Linked DNA regions of Mus musculus. The protein of the gene in region 7 interacts with the protein of the main gene of each other region in a biochemical or structural test. Links are inferred from orthologs where the notes say so. Each region holds a gene or a part of one and is shown on either strand. Other genes may lie near its edges. The genes, in order: Camk2d, Zbtb16, Nacc1, Nr2c1, Ywhaq, Pparg and Hdac4.

Evidence for each region.
Region 1: of the proteins of Hdac4 (region 7) and Camk2d, one has a biochemical effect on the other in vitro, tested with the Homo sapiens proteins (2 studies listed by BioGRID, with this or other methods). The link is inferred for Mus musculus from reciprocal best matches to the Homo sapiens genes HDAC4 and CAMK2D.
Region 2: the proteins of Hdac4 (region 7) and Zbtb16 form a complex in vitro, tested with the Homo sapiens proteins (2 studies listed by BioGRID). The link is inferred for Mus musculus from reciprocal best matches to the Homo sapiens genes HDAC4 and ZBTB16.
Region 3: the proteins of Hdac4 (region 7) and Nacc1 form a complex in vitro, tested with the Homo sapiens proteins (2 studies listed by BioGRID). The link is inferred for Mus musculus from reciprocal best matches to the Homo sapiens genes HDAC4 and NACC1.
Region 4: the proteins of Hdac4 (region 7) and Nr2c1 form a complex in vitro, tested with the Homo sapiens proteins (2 studies listed by BioGRID). The link is inferred for Mus musculus from reciprocal best matches to the Homo sapiens genes HDAC4 and NR2C1.
Region 5: the proteins of Hdac4 (region 7) and Ywhaq are reported together in a solved structure, tested with the Homo sapiens proteins (2 studies listed by BioGRID, with this or other methods). The link is inferred for Mus musculus from reciprocal best matches to the Homo sapiens genes HDAC4 and YWHAQ.
Region 6: the proteins of Hdac4 (region 7) and Pparg form a complex in vitro, tested with the Homo sapiens proteins (2 studies listed by BioGRID). The link is inferred for Mus musculus from reciprocal best matches to the Homo sapiens genes HDAC4 and PPARG.

The regions. Positions count from the first base shown.
Region 1 is NC_000069.6:126,795,783-126,799,473, reverse strand, and holds part of Camk2d (calcium/calmodulin-dependent protein kinase type II subunit delta), read right to left. Parts: intron 2,637-3,691; coding exon 2,514-2,636; intron 1,773-2,513; coding exon 1,689-1,772; intron 1,237-1,688; coding exon 1,194-1,236; intron 1-1,193. UniProt on the Homo sapiens protein: Calcium/calmodulin-dependent protein kinase involved in the regulation of Ca(2+) homeostatis and excitation-contraction coupling (ECC) in heart by targeting ion channels, transporters and accessory proteins involved in Ca(2+) influx into the myocyte, Ca(2+) release from the sarcoplasmic reticulum (SR), SR Ca(2+) uptake and Na(+) and K(+) channel transport.
Region 2 is NC_000075.6:48,665,215-48,668,905, reverse strand, and holds part of Zbtb16 (zinc finger and BTB domain-containing protein 16), read left to right. Parts: intron 1-3,580; coding exon 3,581-3,691. UniProt on the Homo sapiens protein: Acts as a transcriptional repressor. Transcriptional repression may be mediated through recruitment of histone deacetylases to target promoters. May play a role in myeloid maturation and in the development and/or maintenance of other differentiated tissues.
Region 3 is NC_000074.6:84,685,026-84,689,242, forward strand, and holds the start of Nacc1 (nucleus accumbens-associated protein 1), read right to left. Parts: upstream 2,838-4,217; 5' UTR 2,650-2,837; intron 2,581-2,649; exon of another isoform or gene 2,344-2,580; intron 2,124-2,343; exon of another isoform or gene 2,023-2,123; intron 1,675-2,022; exon of another isoform or gene 1,299-1,674; intron 1-1,298. UniProt on the Homo sapiens protein: Functions as a transcriptional repressor. Seems to function as a transcriptional corepressor in neuronal cells through recruitment of HDAC3 and HDAC4. Contributes to tumor progression, and tumor cell proliferation and survival.
Region 4 is NC_000076.6:94,164,829-94,168,519, forward strand, and holds part of Nr2c1 (nuclear receptor subfamily 2 group C member 1), read left to right. Parts: intron 1-589; coding exon 590-769; intron 770-2,581; coding exon 2,582-2,729; intron 2,730-2,809; coding exon 2,810-2,900; intron 2,901-3,691. UniProt on the Homo sapiens protein: Orphan nuclear receptor. Binds the IR7 element in the promoter of its own gene in an autoregulatory negative feedback mechanism. Primarily repressor of a broad range of genes.
Region 5 is NC_000078.6:21,414,552-21,419,014, forward strand, and holds the start of Ywhaq (14-3-3 protein theta), read right to left. Parts: upstream 2,886-4,463; 5' UTR 2,541-2,885; coding exon 2,247-2,540; intron 1-2,246. UniProt on the Homo sapiens protein: Adapter protein implicated in the regulation of a large spectrum of both general and specialized signaling pathways. Binds to a large number of partners, usually by recognition of a phosphoserine or phosphothreonine motif.
Region 6 is NC_000072.6:115,470,162-115,473,852, forward strand, and holds part of Pparg (peroxisome proliferator-activated receptor gamma), read left to right. Parts: intron 1-2,699; coding exon 2,700-3,150; intron 3,151-3,691. UniProt on the Homo sapiens protein: Nuclear receptor that binds peroxisome proliferators such as hypolipidemic drugs and fatty acids.
Region 7 is NC_000067.6:91,981,156-91,984,846, forward strand, and holds part of Hdac4 (histone deacetylase 4), read right to left. Parts: intron 3,623-3,691; coding exon 3,506-3,622; intron 3,419-3,505; coding exon 3,223-3,418; intron 1,113-3,222; coding exon of another isoform or gene 1,098-1,112; coding exon 874-1,097; intron 1-873. UniProt on the Homo sapiens protein: Responsible for the deacetylation of lysine residues on the N-terminal part of the core histones (H2A, H2B, H3 and H4).

The DNA.
Region 1 (3,691 bases), on a different chromosome or scaffold from region 7:
CCTGACTGGGCCAAACCAAGTCAGAGCTGCATAACCCCACCCCAAAACAAAAGTAATGTCATTTTTGACAAGTGTTCTAAGAATAAACATCTAAACTATAAGTCTATCTGTCTGTCTGTCTCTCCCCTCTTCCCCTCCCTCTTTCCCTCCTTCCCTCTCTCTCTTCCTCCCTTTCTCCCTCCCTCCCTTCATTCATCCATCCCTTTCTTCCTTTTTAAAACAGGGTCTCACCATGTACCTTGAATGGCCTAAAACTCTATGTAGAGCAGGCTAGCCTTGAACTTACAGAGTTCAACCTTCCTCTGCCTCCAGAATGTTGGGACTAAGGACATGCATCACCTGATGGCCTTCCCCAAAAGTATAAGTTTATCAAATAAGGCAGAAACTTAGTTGCTGCCTCAGCCCACTCCATATATGTCAGGTTAGCACTTGCCAACGTTTGGCTTTTGAATGCCTAGTGCTTTTTACATAATCTATCAGGGAGGACTCCAAGACTTAAGCATCCTTTCCTGGAAGTAATACACACTTTACGTCCATTGTGGAAAGTCACTTTTAGAGAAAAGAAACTTCTTGGCTGAATTTACCTCGTATGTAAGTTTCTTTTTTTTTTGTGTTTCCTTCTGTCACCCCCCACCCCATGCAATCATTTTGAGGAATACTATTATTGGATGACATCCCCATATGCGCATGTGGCCAGTTCTCTGTAACTTCTCATTAGGCAGCTTTAGTCCTTGTAATTAGTCTAAATGAATGTGAAGACATATTAGTTCAAAGCAAATTAGGCCTATAAAAATAGGGTTCTACAAAATGACTCATTTTAAACTCTTTCTTATAGCAGTTCCCTATAGTAATCAACAAACAAACAAAAATCCTCATGGTTATTTATGAAATATCAATAAAAATGAGACATACATATCATTATTGTGTGACCATAGCATTTGAGACTTAGGTGTCCAGTATGAGTGGAGTCCTACAGACAGCTACAGGACTATAAGAAGTCTCCCCTTCTCCGTTGTGTGATGTGTGTGTGTATCATTTGTAGTTATTAGACTTTCTCAATTCTCTTAAGAACACACACAGACACACACAGACACAGACACACACAGACACACACATACACATACACAAACACACACACACATTAGAGAAGGTCAGAGGTGAGAGGACAAGGAACAGAGTTCAAACATGTATACCTGAAAAATTTCTCGTAGCCAGCATAGTTGTCAAGATGGCGCCCTATCAAAGAAATAAGAGAAATGGATTATAGTTGGCCCTAACAAACCTCTGACCTAAAATCAGGTAGCAAGGGCTCACAAATCTCTGGGCTTTATTTTCAGATAGGGACTTTGCGGTGTCTGCTCTTTGGCTTTGTTTTGTTTATTTGTTTCCTGGAAGCCCTAGCCTGTGGCTCTCAGCATGTTTGGGCAGCTCTAACTTTCTGAGCCACATTTAGATCATCAAGCTGAACAGCTGCTTCCTCTTAGGAGAGAAAGCCCAGCACATACTGCCCTAGCCAGCCTATTTGCATCCTTGGGCTTGATTATGGAGCATGCTCCGTTTCCCTCGGATCCAGGACTGACTACTGAGATCTATAGCATCAAAAGCTTTGCCATGACTTCTGCTTTCAGTAGCTTTCACCTCACCAGATCAACCCTCCAGCCCTCCCACAACAATGTCAAATTTCTTACCTTCAGTTTCCGTCTAGCATTAAATTTCTTCAAGCAGTCTACAGTCTCCTGCCTGTGCATCATGGAGGCAACAGTAGAGCGTTGCTAAAAGAAGAGGAGAAAGGGTGACTTGATATTTAAAACATAGCAAGAACGAGAAAGAGTCTCAGTTTCATCCGATCTTTACATATAGTCACCTTGCAAGTACTCAATTGCCAAAGTCTCCTACGAAAAAGCATGGTTTTATAAAGATTGCTAGTGACTGAGCTTAAACACTGACAAGTAGAAGGTACACAAATGAGGATCACTAGACTCTCAGATCACTACTTTGGCAAGCATTTCCTAGTAGAATACCTTCCCCTTACTTAGCAGTATATCCTAACCGTAGAAATTTACAGAAAATTTCAAACTCTCTTACAATATCCTTGGTTTTTCCTTAGGGCTTCTACAAGACAGTCACACTACTGCAGCCATCGTGTAGCCCCTAAAACTACTTCTAGCTTCTAAGCCTCACATGTTTCTAAGGCTGTTGAATGATAAAGAATTAGACTTTGTAACATTTTCCCTTCTGGGGTGCAGTAAGTATTCAAGTCATTATCTTAGTCCCTGTTCTTGAGTCTTATCAGTTACTGGCATAGGAACACCTCATTCATCTTACTACAGACAATACTTAGAAAATTGGGCAGTTTAGTTTGCTATACTGGCAATGGTGGTTTTCACGACTATAAATTTATTTCTTAAATACTAAGGTTCATCTTTTTCTGTAAGATTATTTTAAACTTATGAAAAGTGACTAGGGGTTTATCCTTCAGTTTGGCTCCTGGGGTGCATGCGAAAGTGACTTACACAGATCCATGGGTGTTTCAGGGCCTCAGAGGCTGTGATACGTTTGGCAGGGTTGATGGTCAGCATTTTGTTGATGAGGTCTTTGGCTTCAGGTGTCACTGTATCCCATTCTGGTGACGGAAACTTCAAAGATAGAAATTAGTAAAGAGTTTTTAAAAATAGAGACACTAAGCTAGACGTGTTCCTACATGCCTCTAATCCCAACACTAGAGAGGCAGAGGCGGAAGGATCACGACTTTTAGACAACCTTCAGATATATAGCAAGAGCAAGGGAAACCTGGTATACATGAGATCCTGTGTTAAAACACACACACAGTAACACACACACACACACACACACACACACACACACACACACACACAGAGTAAAATAGAGAAAATCCAAATATATCCCTCATTTCTATAAGCAGTGCATTGTTTCATAAAATTTGCCATTATGTAAGTTAAATTATATAAAAAATAGATTAATTCATACCACTGTCTGCTGCAACAAAGAAATAACTAACAAGATAAAATTGGTCATGTTTATTTTTAACTTGATCCACTGGTTTCGATGTGAACATGTCTGAGATATTAATGTGTGAATTTCTAAAACACTTAACTATAAGTAATGCTGACAAGATAGGCATGATTTTGCAACTGGGTGCCCCATGAGCTGGCCAGAGAAAGAAATAATCTTGAGTTGTCATCATCTCTTATTCTACCCTACACGAAACCATTTCCCCATCATGTTGTGTAGAAGGGTAGATAGCACATGGTAACTGGCTGGACAGTGGCTGGATCCTGGACTGAGAGGCCGATCCAGAGCACTTCCCAAAGCCAAATTTGCACTCAAAAAAAGACTGTGGCCACTGCTTGGTGGTCTGTTGCTAATCAGATCTACCACAGCTTCCTGAACCCCAGAAAACCACTACATCTGAGAAGTATGCTCAGAAAATTAAACAGATATAACACAAAATACAGTGCCTACAGCTGCCTGGTTCTTTATGACAACACCCCTGTATATGGCACAACGCTTCAAACATTGAATGAATAGGGCTATGAAGTGTTAAATCATCTGTTAAGGCCACCTGCCCTCTCCCCAACCGGCCAAACATCTTCAAGCATTTAGATGACACTTCTACAACTAACAGGATGCAGAAAATGCTTTCTAAAAATTCATGAATTTTTATGCAACA
Region 2 (3,691 bases), on a different chromosome or scaffold from region 7:
GTGGGCAGTCTGAGATGGGGATTCCAGCACGGCTGGCTTCCTGGGATGCCCTTCTTCCTAGCTGTAGACTGCAGACTTCTGACTGTGTCTTGTGTTCTGACCTTGAAAAAGGATCTTTTCATCTTGTTGAGGAGGGCTCCACCCTTGTAATAAAAGACTTTGTTAAGCCTGAATCTGGTAATACCATCCCCTTGGGGGTAATGATTTTTAACATACTCAGTTTTGCAGTGGGGAAGGGGACATCTAGACCTTTACAGCACTCCAGCCCTGTGGCCCCGCTTTGCCTGTGGGATGCCTTCCATCTATGCTGTCTGTCCTCTGTGATCTGACCTCCCCAGTTTGCCAGGCTTGTCTCCATCCTCTGTGCTACCTCCTCTGAAATCCGTTTGCAGCTCACTCTTAGCCATTTTCTTTTACCCCTGGCTTCTCAGATGCACCCCGTTTCTCGGAGCTGAACTCAAAATCTCTGAAGCTCCGTTGGAGCCACCCTTTCTTATCTATGCTCTGGATGGTATTTCTTGACCAGGCTTGGTATCCAGCTTCTCTACTCCATCTCAGCCTCTTCTTGGTCACTTGGTAATGGAGTAAGACAGGTAAACGGACACAAAGCAAATTCAGGCCATTCTGTGAGATGCAGGTGGCCCAGGAGAGCAGCTTCTAAGCACTTTGGGAATAGCAAGGGGACAGGATGCCACTCAGTGTGCTCTGCTAGGTGGCATATTTCAGGGTATCCTCCTGGAGTGACATTCATTCACTGTCCAAGTCCATACTGGGGATCTCAGAGTAAGAATTAAAAATGTTGGCTGGTAGAAGCATGCCTGTTCAGGAAACAAGCTCGCTCGGTCTGAGCACCTAGCCTAGTTAGGCTTTCTGTGGGATAGAGTTCAGGGTAAAGCGGGAATAGGTGCTGAAAACCTATGACACTGGACTGTGGTGCTGTGTGCATTAGAACTTGTTTGTGGGTGGAATCTGCTCTTGCTTACCGGGCTGGACTGGACACTGCAGGACTCAGTGTCAGAGCTTGTAGCTGCTTCTGCCCAATGGACTACCTCTTTCGTGGATGTCCTCCTGCATCGGATGGGACTCTCTTACTGGCTCCTTCCTGTGGATCTTGGGTTTGGAAAGTTTAAGTTACCTGTGTCCAATGACCTGCCTCTGACTGTGCTTCCCGGGCCATTTCTAGAGTGATCCCAGCATGCTTTGGTGCTTGCTCCTTACTGTCTAGGGGAAGCCCAGATAGACAGATATGTCCCAAATGAGGTTCAGAAGCTAGGAAGTGACTCAGTTGGGTACACTGACTGATGAGCAAGCATGAGGACTTGCATTTGGATGCCCAGCACTCACATAACAGCCAGGCATGGCTTCCTGTGCCTGTAATTTCCCCCTGCAGGTAACAGGGACAAGCCAATCCCACAGCTCCCTGGCCAACTAGTCTACCCAAAACTACAAGATTCAGTGAAAGGTCCTGTCTTAATAAAATAGATGGAGAGCCATCCTGAGGTTAATAACCTCTGGCCTTCAAACACCCCATCACACACGTACACCCTACAAAGGTACATGGCACACATACTAAAGACTCTAAAATAAGTGGGATTCAGTTGGTGGTTTCTACAATCAAATGGACCAAGGCATTTTCTAGATTCCCAGCTCTACCTCTTTCTCACTGTGTGACCTTAGGCAAGTTATTTAATCTCTATTTTTCTCTTTGGAAGAAGGTGGCAACAATGCCTGCCCATTAGGGATGCGTGTTTTAAATGAGATGACAGCACAGATAAAGCACCTAGTGGAAATGGTGGTCTTTAGTGTCCTCTCCCTTCTGCTCTCAGACCTTTGGAGGACACCAGGGGTTCTTCCTCCGTGCAGCCCTCCCAGCTGTTGGTTGATGAAGCAAGCATGACCACAGGTAGCTAGAATGCAGTGTCTGCAAAGAGAGGAGCCAACGGGTAATTGTGTGGTGGTCCTTGCCACAGCTCCTTGCCCAACATTTTGGATTCCCTATCTCTAACAACATCAGCTACCAACGCAAGCCCATATGCTTTTCTCTCTGCCCATATTTGGGTGGCATGGCCTGTGCTCAGTCCCACAGTGCTGTCTCTTGTGCAAGTGACACCAGTGGAAAAGGGAGGTCCTTGCCTTTTATTCCAGACCAAGCTACATGTGGTCCTGAGGAGGCAAGACCCAGCCCTCCCATTTGCTGTAGCCATTGCTAGTCAGGGAGGCAGCAAAACTCTTCCCGTTCCTTTCTCTCTCACCTGGCCCGAAGAGCTTCCTTATGCCCCACTGAGCAGCCTGAGACTTTCAGTAGCCCAAATGCTCTGGTGCTCCTTCCTCTTTGCACTCAACTGTCAGACCTTGACCTGATCAGCTTTGAGTTGAGTCTCAACTGGAAGGCTGTGTCAGGAAGGTGTTGAGGGATGGAAGATAGCAGCCTGCCTTTGCGGGCTTCAGTAGGCACCTAGGCTACTGGGCCAGCCGAGCAAGTGACCAGGTAGAACTGAATGAATATTTCATGTGACTCACTAGTTGGAAATCCTTTAACAACTTCTTGTTGGTCTGAGGATGAACCCCTGGGCTTTGTAGTATGGCTGGTCAGGACCCACGTGATCTGGCTCCTGGCTCCTGGCTCTTCTTTCTTTGTATGTTCTCCCTGCTTCTAACGTTAGGACTGGTCACTGTGCTCAACCTGGTGTGGCTCTCCCTGAATGCTCACAGACTCGGTTCCAATCTCCATGCACTGGGTGCTGGGTGCTACTGAGATCAGAACAGGGACTAGTATACTCTTCCCCAGCCTTTCATCCCCAGAACCCCAGAGAGAGTCTCCCTTCTAGGAAGTATCACAGTACAATAGAATGAAATGACTCTCACCAATGCCTGAATTTTTTTTTAAGATGGGAGAGTGGTTATAAGAATATAGTCACCAGTGGTGGTGGTGGTGGTAGTGGCTCACACCTTTAATAGCAGCGCTCAGGATGCAGAAGCAGGCAGATCTTTGAGTTTAAGGCCAGCCCTTGTCTACAGATAGAGTTCTAGGACAGCCAGGACTACACAGAGAAATCCTGTCTAGGGGGTTGGGGTGGGGCACTGATCTAGAGCTAACCCAAGGGAATAAATGAATGAATCCTTTTACTGCTCCCAGTTGGGAATCCAATGGCAATTGGGGTGGGTTAATCTCCCCGTGTTTCTTTCTCCTTACATGAGGTTTGTGGTTTTCAGTGAGTTATGTCACAACAGTGGCCAGCTCGTGTGATCCAGGTTATTGTTGGTTCACACAGAATTTCCCGTCTCCCCACTGCTGCCTCAGACTCTGTAAGGTCCCCGAGTTCACTCCCTTAGTCACCTGCATTGCGTTCAAACCTCTTGCAGAGATGCATCTACGTTACCATCCACATGGTTTTGTATCTTTCTCCCCAAACCTTTAGGTCTCGTGGAGGTCGGGCACCCGTTGGAGCTACATTCAGGGTGCTCACGGACTGGACTGTGGGCTTTAGGATCTCTAGGGGGCAGCGCTGGGTCTTCAGGGGTGAAAATCTGGCCTTGGGTCTCTCCGTTGCTGAGGCTCTCCCGTTGCTGTCTCCCACAGGCACGGACATGGCTGTCTTCTGTCTGCTGTGTGGGAAACGCTTTCAGGCACAAAGCGCACTCCAGCAGCACATGGAGGTCCACGCAGGCGTGCGCAGCTATATTTGCAGTG
Region 3 (4,217 bases), on a different chromosome or scaffold from region 7:
CACAAAACACTGAAAGCAAACTGACCACTTTAGCGGAGGCTGGGCTTGCCTAAGGTCCTCACTGAAGAGCAGATATGACCAGTGCACCTTCTGTTCTAGTTGCATGTGGAGGGGCCACCTGGCCATTTCTGCCTTCATACTGCAGGGCCAACTCCCACCAGTTTTGCATTCCAGCTGTAACTAGTTGACACCATCTGTCCTGGATACCTGACTCATTAAGGCCTAGGAACAGCCAGCCAGTCTATGCCCCAGCAGTTCCCCTTGGTCCACATCGGTCTCTGTGCATCAACAGCTAAAGCAAAGTTGCAGCAGCAGCAGCCAGTGGTGAGAATAAAGGTAATTCTAAAGATGCTGAGGTGATATCAGCCCAACTAACAGAGACAACTGAGAGGCAAGAGGGGGGTTTTCCTGGAGAGCTGCAGCAGCAGAGAAAACAATCTGAAAGCACCAAGTTCTGTAACACAGGCTGCTGGACCAGTCCTCAGCTCCCCTCCCCCATCAAGAGACCAGGCTGGAGGGCATGGCCCAGAAGATGGTGGAGTTCTGGAAACTCCAAGGATAAGAGGGAAAATGGAGACTCAAGAAAATCATCAATAAACCCAGTACTGCCTGATACCAGCAACCCAGAAGTTTGTAGCTGACTCTGGTGCTGAGGATGTCCAGTCAAAGTCACCAAGACAGTGTGTGGTCCTCATTCCTATACAATCCCCGCACTGGGCTGATGGGCAAGAGGGCTATAGTTTAAGACTAGTTAGGCTATAATAAGTTCAAGGTCAGCCTGAGCTAGAGTAACATCAACCAAAAAAACAACACTAAAACAAAAACTTTACCCTTCCAAAACAAGGAACACACTGTTAACCTTGCAATTAGTCTAGAGTTGGAGCAGTGTGCTAAGAAACCAAAGTAAGGCGCACAAAGTCCAGGCAAAGCAAAATCTCACTCCCAAACCACTACCACCCTCTTCTACAACCACTTCCTGCAGCAGAACCAGCACTTTCATGAGCCCCGTGCCCCTGACTCCCAGATGCGGGATGGGAGAGAAGGTATGAGCAGGATGAAGAAGCCCACACACAGTTCCTTGGAACTACTGCAAGGGGATTGACTGAGCCGGTCTAGAGAGCCCAGGAAAGGCCAGGTCCAAGAAGACTCCAACAGGGAATTGGAACAGCAGGAATTTCTCTGCTGATACCCAAGGAGGGCGAACTTGACTTAATAGGCATAGGCCACAGTCTAGTCATATGACCAGGGACAAGCCCCGCCCCGAACCCCAGCTTCTTTCTCTGAAAAGAGAAAGCCAAAGACCCAGCGGTGGCGAGTAATCAATGAACTAGCTGGTTCCACGCTTAGCATACAACCTGCCCTAGAAGGGGCACCAAGGAGGGAGGGAAGGCCCTGGGACCAGGAGCCCTCCTTCTCCCTCCCCCAGGCACAAGTCAGGATGTGTAGGTACCTGTTTTGTCTCAAAGACACAACAGAGCTTCAGGCAGTCACCATCCCAGGAGGCGACAGAATATTTTATCTCCCAGGAGGAGACAGAATTCAGGCCCAGGCAGCAGGTTGGGCCTGGAAAGCTAGGGCGTATTGCAACGCTGTGAGGGCTCATCTTCTAGACTGGAGCCCCCAGGTTCCGGCGCCAGAAGGCTGAGAACGATTTCAGGACTCTAGAATAATCAGGTAATGTCTGCTGGGCTGCCTCCATAGTGGGTGGGGTAGGGCGGTGGGTTGAGTAGGGGCCATACACACCGAAAACAAGATGTTTGAACTAGGTATCCGGTGCAGCCCACGCTAACTCCCATCCAGCCGCTGGCCTGTCCTTGTTAGCAGTTGGCCAAGGTGTCAGAGAAGAGGCGTGGGAAAGAGGAACCCCCCCCCCCCGGTTCTGACCCTAAGCAAACATACGGAGATGTGTGTGTGTGGGGGGGGCAGATCCCTTAGCTCACACCAGGTTTTCCTAACCTGCTCCCCACATCCTAAACCATAGGCCCTGGGCCGCCTGCAAACTCCCAACACGCCCAGCCTTACCTGATGCCCTCCCGTCGGAGTTTACCCGCACATCTCTAGTCTCTGACCTCGTGCGACCCCCTGCAAATATCTTAGGGCTCTCTCCAATCCGCCCCCACTCGAGCAAGCTCCGCCCACCCCCCCCCAAGTCTAACTTCCCGGGCTTTTCCTCACCTCCCCCCAAGGCCTGTAACCTGACCCGCCCACCCCCTTCCCCAGCGCCCTCTACCTGCAAGCTCCGGCCCTCCCGCACCCCTCCAGGCCTTTTCCCTCGGGCGGCGCAGCCCTCCGCCCTCCCACCCCCCGCCAGCCCGAGGCCTCCCCTCCCCCCTCCAGCCTCGCCTGCCGGCTCCACGCGATTACCCCCTCCGGCCCTGAGACTTCAAGGATCCCGCGACCCGCGCCTCCCCCGAGCGGCCTTCAAGCCCTGCGGGCCGGGCCCGCGGGCTGGACGCTGTAGGCCGCCAGCTGAGATTCGGCCATCTCACTCTTGCCCTCCCGCCGCTGTCAGCGCCGCGGGCTCGGCTTCTGGTTCGCAGCAGGGCGCCCGGAGGCCTCGCCTCTCGGCCCTCCGCCGGAACCTCTGATGTCCTCGGGCCGCCCCGGGCGGGAGGAGGCCGGAATTGGGCCTGGGGCGGGCCATCTCACCTGCGCTGTGGCCGCGCTCCGGGGCCTCCCGGCGGGCTCCGCAGCGGCAGCTGGGGCCGGGCCTGGGCCCGGGGCGCGCCTCCCTGCGCCTCGGCCTCGGCCTCCGCCTCTGCGGCCTCCGCGGCCTCCGCCTCAGCAGCAGTGGTAGCCGCGGCGGCCATTCATTGTGGGCCAGGCCGCCCCAGCCGAGCGCCGAGGAAGCGCACGGCGCTGCCGGCAGGGAGGAAAACTGCCTCGGCCCCGCCCCTTAGGCAAGCTTAGCCGCGCTTCGAGCGCTTCGGTTCTCACCAGCTCCTCTTTCCTCCCGGGTCTCGGTTCTGTAGACGGGCTAAGTTGAGTGACTGCGGGACAGGTTGCTCTGTATCTTGGAGCTTCAGTTTCTTGTAAAATGAGAACAACTGTTGTTCCAGGAACAGTTTAGGCTCTTTGTGGAAATGAGGTTTCATGGAGCTGAGCTGAGTAAACTATCAAGATCACAGGAAAGTGAATACGAAGATTTAAACTTAGGTTCAAGAGGTTAATAAAGTGAAAACTCAGGATGCTTATGCGATGTGAAGTTCTGTTAGCATTTTGCACTAACTCAGATAATTATACGTCTTATAACTAATGTTAGAGAGGCCTGACTACTTTTTGGATGGGTAGCAGAGTCAAGAACAGAAGAGTGCGGACTGGATTAAGAGTGTCTACTGGCCGGGCAATGGTGGCACACACCTTTAATCCCAGCACTTGGAAGGCAGAGGCAGGATTTCTGAGTTCGAGGCCAGCCTGGTCTACAGAGTGAGTTCCAGGACAGCCAGGGCTACACAGAGAAACCCTGTCTCAAAAAAATTAAGAGTGTGTACTGCTCTTGTTGAATAGAGTTCAGTTCCCAGCAGTCATGTCAGATGGCTACAGTTCTAGAAACTATCACCTTTTTGCTCTTTGAGGACTTACACACAACTGCACACATACACAAAAATAACAAAAAAATAAAATTTTGAAACAAAATAAGTACCGTTGGGCCTGGTAGAAATGCCTGAAATCTCACCATATGAGAGACTGAGGCAGGAAACTCTAATCTGCCCTGGGCTATATAACTCCAGGACAACCTGGATTAAGAGTGCCCTCTACCCCCAATTAACAGATAACATATAGCAAGGCAAGCTAAGATAACTCTCACATCCCGGATCTCCATATTTTCCTGATGCATACATTAGGCCAACACTCAGTCTGAGTGGCTCCTTTGCACACTTCCCAGGCATTCGGTTATTTAATCTTTGCCCTTGACAGCTAAGATTCCTATTTAACAGGTAAGGGAAATAGGAGCCTTACATTTTAATTAACTTGCCCAGAGTACGTGGTGGGACTGAGATTCAAAGACAGTGAATACTATTCTAGAGCCTGAGTTAACCTACAAGGTGCACACAGAAGACATCTAAAGGTGCAGAGTGCCTCCGCTTTTTGCCCTGAATTAAACTAGTGAAACTCCCTTGTAGAAGAGTTGTATTATTAAGAATCACTGGTGTAGTGTAGCCTGCGCACTTCCTTCCCTAGAAGAGTCTTGACCCTGGTCGCCCACTGTAGGTAAT
Region 4 (3,691 bases), on a different chromosome or scaffold from region 7:
ATTAAAATATCTGTTATAGCCAAGGATGCAGATGGGGGTAGAATGCTTGCCTAACAAGTCTAAGGTGCTGGATTTGGTCCTCAGCAGGAGGAAAAGAAAAGACAACAAAAAACCCAACCAACCAACCAAACAAACAAACAAACAAACAAAAACCCGCACACTGTTACACAATGTATGGCAAAACTATAATTGTAAGTTTTCTCAGAATAAAAAATGTTAACGTGAATAATAGAATTTTTGATAATGATTTTATTGTCTTTCCTAAGTTCTCTAAGGTTTTTTTTTTTTAACTTAATGACTAACTTTATTCAGTGCTTCATAAATCACCAGCACAGGATGTAAAATTTTATGTTTTCATTTTTATGTGCTCTAACATTTTTAATGTTACATTATAAAATTTAAAACTCTGTATCATTATTAAACTTACCACTGGGTATGGTTGTTTTGATTTTCTACTTAAATAAACCCTAAAAAAAAATTGTCAGAATCTCAAAATCACAATTTCGTTTTATATATTGCTGTTTTAACAGAAAAGATGAATTTATTTTGCTTCTGACCTATAGTATGCTTTTAAACATTTCATCTCTAGGGCGTCATTACGGAGCAATAACTTGTGAAGGCTGCAAAGGATTCTTTAAAAGAAGCATCCGGAAAAACCTAGTCTATTCCTGTCGAGGATCCAAAGACTGCGTTATCAATAAGCACCACCGAAACCGCTGCCAGTACTGCAGGCTGCAGAGGTGCATTGCCTTCGGGATGAAGCAAGACTGTACGTGCTTGACGTAAAGGGGGCGTGGTTCTTGTACGTACTTGACTTAAAGAGGGCGTGGTTCTAACACTCCAGCGAATGGAAAGTGCATACGACTTAGCATGTTTAAGCAGCTCAAGATTACATGGTGCAGTAGTTACTTTTCTGTCCCTGTGATAAAACGTCATGACAAAAAGAACTAAAGGAAGAAAAACGTTATCTGGGCTTATGGTTCCAGAGGGCAGGGAGGCACAGTGAGCTAGCAGGACCATGAGGCAAGCTGATGACATTTTAGCCCCAAAGAGAAAGTAGAGTGAGTTCACTCACAAGGACAGGCTTTCTCCAGCAAAGCTCTTCTTGTTCAAACCATGGTATGGGCCTTTTAATCCATAGCTGTCCAACTAACAATAGAATGACTATATATATATATATGTTAAGTAATATATATGTATATATATATTACTTAACAAACAAATATTTTTGATAACACAATAACCTGTGACAAACACATCAGTTGACACTTAGCACTCAAATGATTTTCGTAAGCTATCTTGGAATTTTAAAAACATAATGTGCATAATAGAATTCTTAGTGATTTTGTTGCCTTTCCTAAATTTTCAGTAGCATTGTTAGTGTTACATTGTAAAACTTAGAACTCTGATCATTAAAGTGCTAGACAGCAGTGTGCTTTGTGACAGATGCCCAAAACGTGGACTTGGTAGCATCAGCCAATACTGATCTGTCCACGGGCTAATGTGTCCTCACAATCTCAGCACAGTTCTCTGCGCCTGGTTACACTACACTGTTACCACCTTAACAGAGAAAGGTTGGAAACTCAGCAAAGCAGACAACTAAGAGGTGCCTGAAATTTTCTGATGGTTTGCTCTCCCCTCTGCCCCCAAAGAAAATAGGTTTAGGAAACGTTTTGCCTCCTCTTTAGATATTACAAGATTTTTACAGATATCACATATTGTATAGATGAACTTATGTGTAAGACAGATTTATTTTCTAACTAGAAAGGCACTACTTAGGCCTTTTCTATCAGTATTATCTTCAGTTGGTCAAGTTTCTTTTTCTTTAGTTCTCTATATACAAGGGGCATGTCACTTTAGTTCTTCCTTCTTGATAGTGAGGGTTTTTTTGTTTGGTTGTTTTTTTTGTTTGGTTGGTTGGTTGGTTTTTTTATTTTTTTTTTTTTTTGGTTTTTCGAGACAGGGTTTCTCTGTGTAGCTCTGGGTTTTAAGAGTTCTATTTTTCTTCCATTGGAGTGCCGCAGTAGAGAGAGGTGGGAATAACAGGTAAATTGACCAGTTTTACTAATAGGGATTTAAATATGCTTGGCCCAGGGAGTGGCACTGTTTGGAAGTGTGGCCTTGTTGAATATGTGTGTGCCCTTGTTGGAGTAGGTGTGTCACTGTGGATATGGGCTTTAAGCCCCTTGTCCTGGCTCCCTGGAAGCCAGCATTCTGCTAGCTGCCTTCAGAACAAGAGGTGGAACTCTCAGCTCCTCCTGTACCAAGTTTGCCTAGACACTGCCATTCTCCCACCTTGATGATAATTGACTAAACCTCTGACCCAGTAAGCCAGCCCCAATTAAATGTTGTCCTTTATAAGCGTTGCCTTGGTCGTGGTGTCTGTTCGCAGCAGTCAGAATGCTAATACAGGGAGCAATGTTGTTGAACATGCATAGATTTTGTGAAGATTGATGGCTGCCTTTGGAATTCAGCTAGAAACCGTGACTCTCTCATTAGCCATGTTGGAAACAAGCAGCTTAAATTTACAGATTTCCATGGAGTCTGTATTGTAGTGTAATTATTTAACATGTTTTTGTAGCTGTTCAGTGTGAAAGAAAACCCATTGAAGTTTCCCGAGAAAAATCTTCCAACTGTGCAGCTTCAACAGAAAAAATCTACATCCGCAAAGACCTCCGAAGCCCTCTAGCCGCAACGCCAACCTTTGTAACAGACAGCGAGACTGCCAGGTGCCCTGCAGCTATTAGTGCATCATTTGCTTCTCTTCCCAGATCTACTGAGACTAAAACCTGTGCCTCATTTGTTGCAGGTCAGCTGGACTGTTGGATTCAGGAATGTTTGTGAATATTCATCCGTCTGGAATAAAAACAGAGCCAGCTATGCTAATGGCACCAGATAAGGTATGTAGCCTAACTAAAGACCCTCTTCCACCTCTCCCCCCTCCCCGCCCCCATCCTGCGTGAGTCTGAGCCCTTAGTCCCATCCCATGCTCTGTCTACTGCAGAGCAATAATTTCTGTTTCCTGTTTTCAAAAGATTGTTATTTATGTATGTACTTTATGTGTGAGTGTTCTGTTTGCATGTATGCCTGCATGCCAGAGAAGAGCATCAGATCCCACTACAGATGGCTGTGAGCTGCCATGTGGTTGCTGGGAATTGAACTGAGCACCTTTGGAAGAGCAGTCAAGGCTCTTCACTGCTGAGCCATCTCTCCAGCCTCTAATTCATGTTTCTAAAGCTTAACTTATTTGATAAAATTCTTCACTATGCTATTAAAAATGTTATCTCTAACATGAAAGCAAAGGACATTTAAAACTGTTCCCAGTTTCTTTCATTTTAAAATAAATGTTATCTGAAAATTAACTTGGGGTAGATCCAAACCAAACAGAATGGAATACTGCCTGTAATCCCAGCAACTCGAAAGGTGATGACTACAAGGGTAGCCAGCCTGGGCTACACTCTGATTTGAGGATCATCTGTGCCCTATTGTGAACCCATCTGAAAAGGCAGAAGGATAGCACAGACTTCCTACCTCTATTCCTCTTATTTTTCCCTGCTAGATTTATTTGTGCCAGTACTTAAGATAGCTCCAAGTAAAACTCCTGGAGGCTGGAGAGATGGCTCAGAAGTTATAAGCACTGGCTGCTCTTCCTGAAGTCCTAAGTTCAATTCCCAGCATCCACATGGTGGCT
Region 5 (4,463 bases), on a different chromosome or scaffold from region 7:
CTACCAACAGACCACCCTCTAGTCACACCAAAAAAAACCCCCAAAAACAAAAAAACACCTTCCCTCAAGCTCTATCCCAAATCCTCCCCATGGCAATCACTTCTAACACTGCTCCCTCAATACTCACCCTCAAATCTATTATCTCTGTAGAGTCTTATCTGAGGTTTGTTTCCTTCTAACTAAACTGCATTTTATTCATAAACACCTTATAAAAATTACCTAGCACAATTCTCTATATTACAAATTGTTCAAGGACAAAAAAAATCAAATCAAATCAAATCAGTGGTTCTCAGCTTTGTTCTTCCCTGTATTGTTTAACCTTTCAAAACATATCAAGCTCTCCAGAATATCTGCCAACTGGAGACATGCTTTCCCGGGGTTCTTCTCCAGGTTGGTCATCAAGGCAAAATTCAGCTAATTTGTGCATCAGTGTACAAATTAGTCAACCTACCTACCTCTTCTATTTCTGTCTTGTGCACGAAAAAAGCACTACTGTCCCAATTTCAAAAGTTCTCTTATTAAAAGGATATGCATGAGAGGTCTCCAATAAATGTCTGGTCACTCTCTCAAACCGTATCAAAAAAAGGAAAACTCCCACATCTATGCTTCCATAAAACCCAAATTTTCTGGGCTGGAGAAATAGTTCTGTGGTTAACAGCACTTGCTATTCTTGCAGAGGACCCCAGAACCCAGTTGAGTTCCCAGCACCCACATGGTAGCTAACAACTCCAGTTACAGGAGATAACCCCTGACCCCTTCTTCCAGTCTCTGGACAATGCATCCCCATAGGTGGTATACATACATACAGGCAGAACACAATTCTTTGTTGTGTGTAAGAGCTGCAAGACGGAATAAATATTCCTTTGTTTCAGAATTAAACTGATAGTTTACACAAAAATCTGGTGATTCAGAACTGCATGGGTAAATAAACCCCAAAGTGTTAACAATAGCCATCAATATATGGTATTAAAGTCTGCTATTACTATCCTAGTTGACATCTCTTGAATGTAAAAAAATTCAGGCCAAAGAGCTGCCTCCCCTAAGCTAAACAGGGACTGGAACTTAAGATCACATAGATGTTAACAGAACAAAATGGCATCTTTACAAAACAGAGTTTTCTGCACTTCACTACCAACTGATTGCTTCTGACCCCTAACATCTGTATCTATCAGCCATGATTTTGCTCAGATAATCTCTTTTGTTTTAGTAAAACAGGTAGGTTTTACACAACAGGGAAAAATGTTCTAGGTTCCATTGATTCGATGTGATAAAGAAATGAAGGCTAGAAGGGAAAGCCCCTTTTTCCCTTCTCTTATGAAACCCTGCATAAAAGACACCTAAAAAGATCCAGGGCAAGCCTATCAGCTACCAGCTGCCTCATATAAAGGTGGCATGTGAAGAGCAAACCCAGCAGCTACTTCATCATCAGTCTATAACTACCTATCAATGTGAACAGGAGTCACAGTTTGCAGCATTAATATCTGACACTCTATGGCATGCTATTTAAATTTTAGAAACTTGCTTTATTGAATAAGAGATCTGGGCAATGAATGACTCAAGATTTAAAAGTGCCCCCTCTAATAAGGGTGAATCATAGCAGTTAACATCCCGGTTGGGACTGGATAGTGCAAAACCTGGAAAGCCTTCCTTGCCCATCCACACCAGAAATGCTTTCATTTCCATACACCGGACTAAAGTGAGGCAACAAATAGAAAACAAACAAACAAACACTATTAAATAGTGAAATTTGACCAGGGCATGGTATTCTTCAAATTATCTGTATCCTTTTCATCCAGTGAACTCATCCACCCACCCACCCCCACACCTCTTTAGCAAGGAAAGGCTCAACATATTCTTACATGAAAAATAAAACATGTCTAGATTTTTCACTCCTAAATCTTGGGGGGCTGGGGAAATTCTAGCATCTCTATGGTAAAAGTCCCCATGCCTTCTACGACATGAAAGAACTTACAGATCTCAGGACCACTCTCCTGGCACAAGGTTAAATAGGTCTTTTTCAGTCTTGTGCAAGCCTACGCGGCTACTCCCCCCAAGTTTTTGTACCCCAGAGCTTGGGAAAAAAAGAGTTACCCACCCCCGAGAAAGCTCTGAAACAGGTAAGAAGGAAGCCTGGGGCTCAAATCACAAACTCTCTATCCCACAGGTTTCTCCCCATCGGGAACACCACACAAAAGGGGTGTCGCTCCCGCCGCCCTACTCCCTCACTAATGCCGGCGCCAACTCACCAGGACCGTGGTGCAGATGGACCTCAGCTCCGACTCCACTTTCTCCCGATAGTCCTTGATCAGCTGCAACTTCTTGTCAGAGGTGTCGGTCTTCTGCTCAATGCTCGAGATGACCCTCCAGGCGGACCTGCGGCCCCCTACCACGTTTTTGTAGGCCACCGACAGCAGGTTGCGCTCCTCGTTGGACAGCTCGGCGCCCTGCTCCGTCACGGCTTTCATGCAGGTGGCCATGTCGTCGTAGCGCTCGGCCTGCTCGGCCAGCTTGGCCTTCTGGATCAGCTCGGTCTTCTCCATGGCGAGCGAGGGCGAGCGCCGAGCCGGATCCGGAGTCCTCCTGAGAGCCGCGAGGGGCGGGGCGGGGCGGCGCCGGCGAGGACAAAAAGGAGCGAGGAGAGAGCGCGTCAGACAATGCAGCCGGACGCCCGCTTTGTCTCAGCGCACGAGGCGGCGCGTCCTCCGGCCTCTCACGGGGCCGCCGCCTTCCGCCCGCGCCCTCCGGCCCGCCCGCCGCGCCTCCCCAAGGCCGGAGCGCGGGCCCCACCCGGCCCAAGATGGAAGCGGCCGTTGGTGCCGCACCTTCCCGTCCCAGCCCGAACCTCAGGCGCGCGGTAGCCTAGCAGATATGAGGACCGTGCTCCGCCAACCCGGCCTCGGTACCTCGCGGCGGCTGTTGCAGCCGCAGTCCCAGAGCTGTGTCCGCACTCACCTTCTAGTCTCCGCAGCCGCGACGCGAGTCCCACCACTTTGATCTGCTTTGGGCTTTAGCCGAGGACCCTCCCGTCTCAGCCTAGCACGGAGCCGACGAGCTCGCCACCGACCAATAGAACGCTGCACCTCCCCAAGGAGTCCCGCCTCTAGCTTCTCCTCTGTCCAATGAGGGGCGAGCGCGCGGAAGGGGGCCCAGGGGGCGGGGCGGGAAGCGAAGCGGAGGCTCCGAGGGTGGGTCGGCTCGGGTAGGTTCGGTTGGCCCGCAGGCTGCGGCTTCGGCCACGGGGTTTCCTCCAATTAGATCCAGGGTGAATGGACGTCACTGTTGCCATGGCGATGCTTTTCCAACTCCCCTCATCCTCCCCGCCAGCCCGGCACTCCTGGGTGCGGCACGGGACCGGAGGTGCTTTCGACCTCCGAGGCTGCGACCGCGTGTCCTGTAGCAGCAACCACTGCAGATGGGGCGTTGCAGCTCTCGAGCTGCTGCGGCTGCAGCTGGACTTGGCAGGGGTGAGATAATTAGCCCTTTTGATGCACAAGCGCCTTCCTTTCTTCTACCTTCCTGTTCTTGACAAAGGTTTGTATCCCCAAGACATTAAAATGCAACCCTTACAATTTTCCTGTTTCGGCTACAAATTAGAAATATCCTGATCCCCATTAAAAAAGGATTCGTTCCCAGAGAAAGTGGCTTAATTCAAGTTTTCACACAGGCACCCGAAAGCCAGCAATTCCCTTATGGAAAGGTAGATTCAGGAGATCTGGGCAGGACTGCGTGGCAGCGTCAGGTAAGCATTTCTTTAAAACGGGGAAATGACATTAAGCACGATTTGAACAAACACAGCTGTGACTACCCGATCCCCGGAAGCATATTTCTTAAACATTTCTTTACTACTTTTCCACATTAATGTCTAAGTACACCCTGCCCCGAACACACACACCTTTGTACTCTGTAAAGCATGTATGCATGCTTTTGTTTTTTGTGTGTGATGGGTTTTTTTTCTCCTGATATATTTGTGAAGATCTCATGTTTTTCTCTGCACAATAAACACCCTTCTGAAATGAGAGCATTTGCCCCAGATGCCATGTATTCAGGGTCACAGCTAACATTTTTCTCCTTTAAATAGGCTCCCTTATTTCCTAGCCCTCAATCCAATTCCTAGTGAGGTGGCTGTCCTACCGGACTCAAAGAATGAAACTGCCACCTGGGCTCTGAAGAGATGCCAGTTCCAGTAGTTCCTCAAGGGTTCAAAGAACTTCAGTGACTGCCACAGGCAAAGTGGATTCAAATGCTAAACGGAACCAAGCAGACCGAAGACTGCAGAAAGGAAGGTCTGACACTGAGCACAGATGGGGGGGGGGGGGGGAAGAGACGAAGCTTCCAGAAATTCAGATCTCCTCCCAGCTGCCCCTCCCTACCCAACTTGTAAAGGTTGCTTTGTGCTTTGACCAGGAGAGGCCTGGTTGGAAAGTGACTCTACTCTGTCTTAATACAGAAACGCCTTACTATGC
Region 6 (3,691 bases), on a different chromosome or scaffold from region 7:
TTGATTCTATGCTTGTATTTTCCATCCTGGGGAATGCAACTCAGAGCCTTGAGCATTCTAAGCAAGCACGGTACTTAGGCCTAGCTGAGGAGATGATTTCATGTTCATGTTATCTGCAATAGAGCATGTTTGGTTGGACTGCTTTCTCTGTTGTCCACACTCAGGAGAATAAAGGAAGTCAAGGGGCTAGGGACTTGACATGCTTGGAACCGTGTACTTTATCCCTAGCAAACTGGGCCAGGGGTGATAGTGCACCCTTGTGAAATCCCAGCACTTGGGAGGTGGAAGCAGGAGGATCAGAAGTTCAAGGTCATCCTCTGCTATATACCAAGGTTAGGTACCAGAGGCCTTGTCTAAAAATGTTAAGTCACTTATTTTTTGTTAATATGCATTATAATACACTATGACACCCCTAGAACACCAGTAGAGGAGGAAGAGGCAGGAGAAGGAAAGCATTTCTTCTAGGTTCTGTAAAATCATCTTCATCCACTCATAGTTCTCTCAAGGTTAGACTCTGACTCTCAGGGATAACACAGTACATTTAAATTGTTATAATTGACTCTGCCTTTTCTTTATCCTCTTCTTACTAATGATGCCAATGGTGAAGACTTAGGGTAAACCAAAGCGAGATGTCCAAGAAACAGTGAACATGATTTGCTCCTAGTTGTCTTCAACAATCAAAGGCAGCAAGCCTCTGAGTCCTCTAGTCTCTCCTCTCTGAGGTGTGATGAGCATTATGGTTGAAGTGAACTGAGGACAGCAGTATTTCTAGAGCAACCCAACCCTTAAGTGTTTGGAAATCTACTCAGTCTAAGAGTCCTCAGTGTGGAACAGACTGAACTTGGTGAAAATCAGGGATGCTTATCTGCAAGAGTCCGTAGTTAAATCTCTAGCCAATACATCTTGAAGCTGGTTACTCTTGCCACTTATAGAACCCACACCCATTTAAATACACACACACAGAGAAAGAGAGAGGAGGAGAGAGACTGAGAGAGAGAGAGAGAGAGAGAGAGAGAGAGAGAGAGCATACACAATAGAAATACAACTAGAATCTCCTCTAGAAAAGAATGGAAACCTTCAATTTTGTCAGCTTCCCAACAATAATAGTGCGGGCTTTTAATCCCTGCACTCAGGAGGCAGAAGCAGGTGGGTCTCTGAGTTTGAGGGCACCCCGGTCTACAGAATGAATTCCAGGACAGCCAGGGCTACACAGAGAAATCCTGTCTCAAAACAAAAACAAAAACAAAACAAACAAGCAAAAACAAAAACAAAAAAACAAAAACAAAAACTTGAGAATTTGGAAGAGTAAATGACTTTCCCTAAGTCATATAGTTAAAGCACTCACCCAGCAGCTGACAAGGCTCACAACCATCTATAACCCTAGTTTCAGGGGATCTGACACACTGACCTATACAAGCACTAGATACACATATGATACACTTATATGCATACAGGTCAACCCCCTTATACATAAGAGAAAATAAATAAATCTTTGGGGAGGGGGAAAGATTGAAAACCAGGACCCAGATAGCCTCAGTTTTTATTCCAGTGCTCAGCTATATAAATTATTTAATAAGATTGAGGTTATCTCTTTCTAGGGTTCAGTACATGTAATAAGTGCAAAATGTTCCTTCTCCTAGTTGATCAACCTTGAGAGTTTCACAATGCTCATAAGCCTTTGGCTAGTTCTTTTTTAAAAGAAAATAGGGAGAAGAGTGTCATGACAAATATGAATTACCTTTCAAAGCAACCTGTTTATAAGCCTGAGTAATTGATCCATTTGTTTTATTTATTAGTTGATCCCTAAGAACACCTATATTAAAATGTAAGTTCAGAGCTGGGACTGCAGCTCAGTGATAGAGCATTTGCTTAACACACAAGAGGCTCTGTGGTTCTGTCTTCAAAACTACAAAAAGTAAAAGCTCAGAGCCATTCTTATTTTACTATTCTTTGCAATGTTTTACCCACAGGCCTGCTACAGCTGCATTTTCTGAAACAGATGGCTTCCAGAGCACAGAAAAAAAAAAAATAGACATTTTCTTGGCTCAATATTTTTAATCTGCTTTGAGTGATTTTTTTTATAGTGAAATAGATTTTATATGTTCACTGTGTTTCCTTTATGGTCTGAGTAAATTTAATCTAATGCTGTAAGCTTAGTTTATGTTCAAGTGGGTCTTTTCAATTATAAGTTGCTTTAATTATTTTTTTGTTTAAAAAAAAGGCTAAATGTATGTTCTCTTGAAATTCAAGAAAGACAACAGACTTTTTGTCAATTTAGTCAGTCTCAGGGTAACATAGTAGTAGTATAAGTTGAAGGAAGAAAGAGCCGAGTTGAAGCTGGGCAGTGGTGGTGCATGCCTTTAATTCCAGCACTTGGAAGGCAGAGGCAGGCAGATTTCTGAGTTCAAAGCTAGCCTGATCTACAGAGTGAGTTCCAGGATAGCCAGGGCTACACAGAGAAACCCTGTCTCAAAAAAAAAAAAAAAAAAAAAAAAACCAAAGAAAAAAAGAGCCAAGTTGATAAAATGTTTGCACACAGCAGATCAATGATAAATAGGAAGAGCCTCTCTCCTGTTTAAGTGCCTTCATCTTTCACAGTTTTCCTCAGCAAGGAAATACATATATAAAATAGTCTTCAGGACTAGGGTGATGCTCTCTCAGAACAAGGAACTCAGCCACTTTCCCTTTTTCATTTGCAGCCATTTGTCATCTACGACATGAATTCCTTAATGATGGGAGAAGATAAAATCAAGTTCAAACATATCACCCCCCTGCAGGAGCAGAGCAAAGAGGTGGCCATCCGAATTTTTCAAGGGTGCCAGTTTCGATCCGTAGAAGCCGTGCAAGAGATCACAGAGTATGCCAAAAATATCCCTGGTTTCATTAACCTTGATTTGAATGACCAAGTGACTCTGCTCAAGTATGGTGTCCATGAGATCATCTACACGATGCTGGCCTCCCTGATGAATAAAGATGGAGTCCTCATCTCAGAGGGCCAAGGATTCATGACCAGGGAGTTCCTCAAAAGCCTGCGGAAGCCCTTTGGTGACTTTATGGAGCCTAAGTTTGAGTTTGCTGTGAAGTTCAATGCACTGGAATTAGATGACAGTGACTTGGCTATATTTATAGCTGTCATTATTCTCAGTGGAGGTAAGATTCATCTTTTGATTTTTGTCAAAGAAGATGGGATTGTGGTGGAATTGTTGGTGGGATTGTGTCTCGGTGCTCTGTGCTCCTTTTTACTGACTGTGCGTGTTGTGTAGAACATGCCAATGGCACAGTGCCGTGAGCATGTCACTCCCCAGGCTGAGAACCATAGGCTTGCAGAGTGAAGGTGGTGGGGATCCCAGGTTCCTCGAGTTTGTTCATCACACTGCTCTTCTCCAGCCAAATCCAATCATGAAAGACAAATGCCCTCTACTTCTTTCATGTTCTTTTTCCTTGTCTTGCCCCCTTTCTTCCCAAAAGGCCAATCTGGTCTTCGGTTCATTTTAGTAATGATGTGTGTAACTTAACTTTGATGATGCTTCTGTGGTATATAGCAGGCAGCACTGTGAGATCTTGGCCCAGTTAACACTTGCACCCCACCTTCCCTGCATCAGGAATCAGGGAATGTGCATTTGCTAAACTCCACCTTCTCTCTCATGTGGTTCTCCCTTTTATGCCTTTGTAAGGCACTTGGCTGTGATTA
Region 7 (3,691 bases):
CCGAGGCCTAAGCTGGTCACTTCCTGTGAGTGAAACATAGCAGGAGGCGATTGTGATAGGCTTACTTCCCTGACAGCCAGGTTTTGGAGCCTCTATATGCTGCATGACCCCAAGACAACGGTAGGTGTGTTCTGTCACCTGTCACCACAGGATAAACCCTGGAGATGCTCCATCCACAGTTTGGCTGCTATGAGCAGTACAGAAGAGGATTGTGGACAGGTTTCTGTGAGACATTTCCATTTCTCTTGGAGAAAAGCTGTTGGGCTGTTTGCAGAACTGTCACTGAGCTGATATGGAAGGTATCTGACTTACAAACCTGAAGGGGACACACTAAACTCTCTGTCCCTGCTCGCCAGCAGCACAGTACTAACTTTTCCTGTAGATGGGGCTGAGAGACTCTGACAATCTGACAGTACACAGACCTCTCCAGGCTGGCCTGCTTCCAAGCTGCTTTTGATGGTATAACTCCCACATTTAAACAGTTACAGGTGCCAGGTGACTTGAAAAATATGTTTCAGGGACTTGATGCCACTGTAAAGTTGTAGGCCTTTGGTGAGAGTTTGCTTAAAGATCTACTTGGCAAATGACTTAAGAAAGTCCCTAAAAGAACTGCCTATGTGGATTCCCACACAAGGATGCAGAGGCCTCTTGCAAGGATGCGGCCCACTGCTTACAGGTGCAGATGGGCTGTGAGGAAGGCTCCACACAACAGCATACCTCCCTAGGCTCCCCACCGTGCACCAGAGTGTGTGCTCTGTTTTCTCCCTTCCCCATTTTGGCCACTCATGGTCAGCAGGGGCTGAGGGAGGACAGCAAGGAGCACCCCGTCTGGCTGCAGGTGACTAGCTCTAGAAAGCAACAGGACACACCCACCTTGCTGAGGTGCAGCTGCTGCTGCTGGAACTGTTGCTTGTGCTTCTCCAGGAACTGCTGGTGCTGCTGCTGGATCACCAGGTGCTGCAGGGCCTGTGCGTTCTGCGGCAGGGGTGCTGACTGCGTGCGCCCCAGAGGGCGGTGCTGCCGCAGCTTGTGAATGGATGGGGACACCCTGTCCGCACCAACCAGGGACTGTGAGTGGAGGGGCAGCGCCCCCAGGCCTGAAAGATACCAGTCTGAAGATAATATGGAGGAAAAAAAAAACAGCAGAGGGGAAAAGGAAGAAGAGAGGGGAGAGATGCTGTTGAGTAACCAGTGGAGAAAATAACATGCCTGCCAGCCCAGGCACCTATGACACATGTCTGCAAACAGGCTCGATTCCAGCTAGAGGCTGTAAGCCTGGAGCTTGGGCTTTAGCAGGGCAGAGAAAGTAAAGTTACCTGGAGATCCCATTGATGCAGTTTCTCCAGGAGCTCACCAAGGAGCACTCCAGAAAGTATGGCAACAGCCTAGCATCAGCTTGCCACACATCCAATAGACGTTTCCAGAGGATGGCTCTTCTAGCTCATGCACATCCCCAAATACCAGAAAGAAGAACAGTTTGCGGCTGACATGCCGAAACTCAGGGGCAAACTGACACCCAGGCACTGTCAAGACCTTGACCTTCAGTGGATTCTACCACAGGAGATTTTGTATCAAATACAGAGTGGCACTGGGAGAGGAAAGAAGGGCTGCACAGGGAAGGAATCAGATCTTCCCTAGAGGCATGACAGCCGGGCTTCAGAGAGAGCAGGCCGGGGCAGTGACAGCACAGCATGCAGATGGTGCAGGGCAGCAGTGGCTGCAGGACAGACAGACAGAGTTCAGAGAAGTGGAAGGACTCAGAGAAGAATGTGTGCTTCACACACTTCCCTTGGTCAGTCTGCCCGGGAAGAGGGCTGTGGTGCAAGGCTGGGGTCTCTGCTAAGAGCTGACCCATTTGTCAGTGGTGTTGTGTTTAGATCGTGCTGAGATGACAGCCATGCCACGTTAAGTAGTGGGATGCTACCCTACTACTTTGGCTTGAATGTTCACAGGTCTGGGCTCTACACACAGTATTACTCTAGACAATGGGGAACGTGGGCCTCTCTGGACCACTGTGGCTGAGCAGAGGAAATCCTGTTCAGGAGGCTCCTTTCCCAGCGAGAGCTGCATCAGAAGGGGTGCTGGGAAGACTGGATAGAGTGCTGGGGGAGAGTCACAAACACAGCCCTGACATCCCAGCACTTAGAAGACTGAGGCAGGAGAGTCCGAGTTTGAGGCCAGCAAGATTTAATATCAAAACAGCAACAGAGGTTCAAATAAATACAATAAAGAGACAAACCAAAACCAAAACCCAGCTAACCCCAAAGGAAAAACCTCAACCTGGAGATCAGCACCGACTGGGCTGCTGGGTGTCAGACGCTGCCTACGGGAACTGAGTCTTTTCACTTTGTCACTCTGTGCTAGCATCTCACTCATAGATGGGAAGATGAAGCCCATGGTCCCTGGCTTCCAAGAGAACAGACAGGAAGGGGCCTGAGTGTAGGGAGCGGTCCATGGTCACTGAGACACTGCTCTCAGAGCTGGAGGAGGGTGTCCCAGCAGACCAAGTGCTGTTCCTGTCCAGATCACTGACTTGGGAGAGCCAAGGGCATACTAGGGACAAAAAGCACAAGACAGGAAACCAATACCAAGCCCTACAGACCAACTCACCCCAGTAGGTGGGAACTCTAACACACCAACCAGAGGCTGGCCCAGGGGAACACTGGAACATGGACAACGCCAGTTCTAGGATTGCTCTGGCTGTGATTCTGAGTGAAGCAACAGGTGTGAAGAAGTCACCCACTGACCTAAGGATGATGTAGAGAACTGGGCCAAGTCACCAATAGGGAGGGTTGTGTGTCTCATGAGAAACATTCCACATGCCATCATTTCTGAAACAGTCCCTCCAAAGTGTGGTAACTGGGTAAATGTCACGAGTTTACTTTGTCTCAAACTTGTATTTTTCTAAATGCAATCATCCTCAAGCTGAGAAATCAACGGTCACTTCTGCACTTCATGCACTTGCTTCCTCGAGCTGTAGGGAAACCAATCAGTGGGAGAGCAGGAGGCTAAACAGAGGGCCACTGGCACTGACTGGTACTCCTTGGTCATTTTTCTAAGCAGGACACAGTTTTTTGCCACAGTTAAGGTAGCTATCACATTACAGAGAACCATAGAGTTTCTACTGTTGTATGGGCTCAGTTGTTCTTTCCAGCCTTCTTTAAAAGCTACAGGAGGCCAAGGAAACTGCTAACGCCACAGAGATCTCCTTGTGGTTCTTACCTGTGACAAGGGGTGTCTGGGTGGGTGGCTGCTCCAGCAGGACCATGTGCTGCAGGAGGGGGTTGTGAGCTGCTGCACCGTCCCTCTCCAGGGGCGAGGTGCTCAGGTACGGGGTGAGGTGGGTCCCAGGGAACAAGATCCGCTGCTGGAGAGCTGGGAGAGCAAGCCTCTCAGCATCCTGCTGACCTGCCGCACCCTGAAAGGCAGAACCAGTAAACTCAGGCTGTGGGAACTGGAGTAGACAACCACCCCATGCCACACAGACCCACAGAGGCCAACTTACAGCGGCAGGGCCAGTGGCAGGAAGTCCCAAGGTGATGTTGGGTAAGGATGGTGACGTGTAGAGAGGAAGTGGGGCGACTGAGCCTTCTCGAGTCACAAGTCTGTGTGCCAAGCTCGTCTGTAGACAGAAGACATTGTGACCGTCAGAGTCTACTACAGACATTCCAATACAAGCAGCATACCCAGG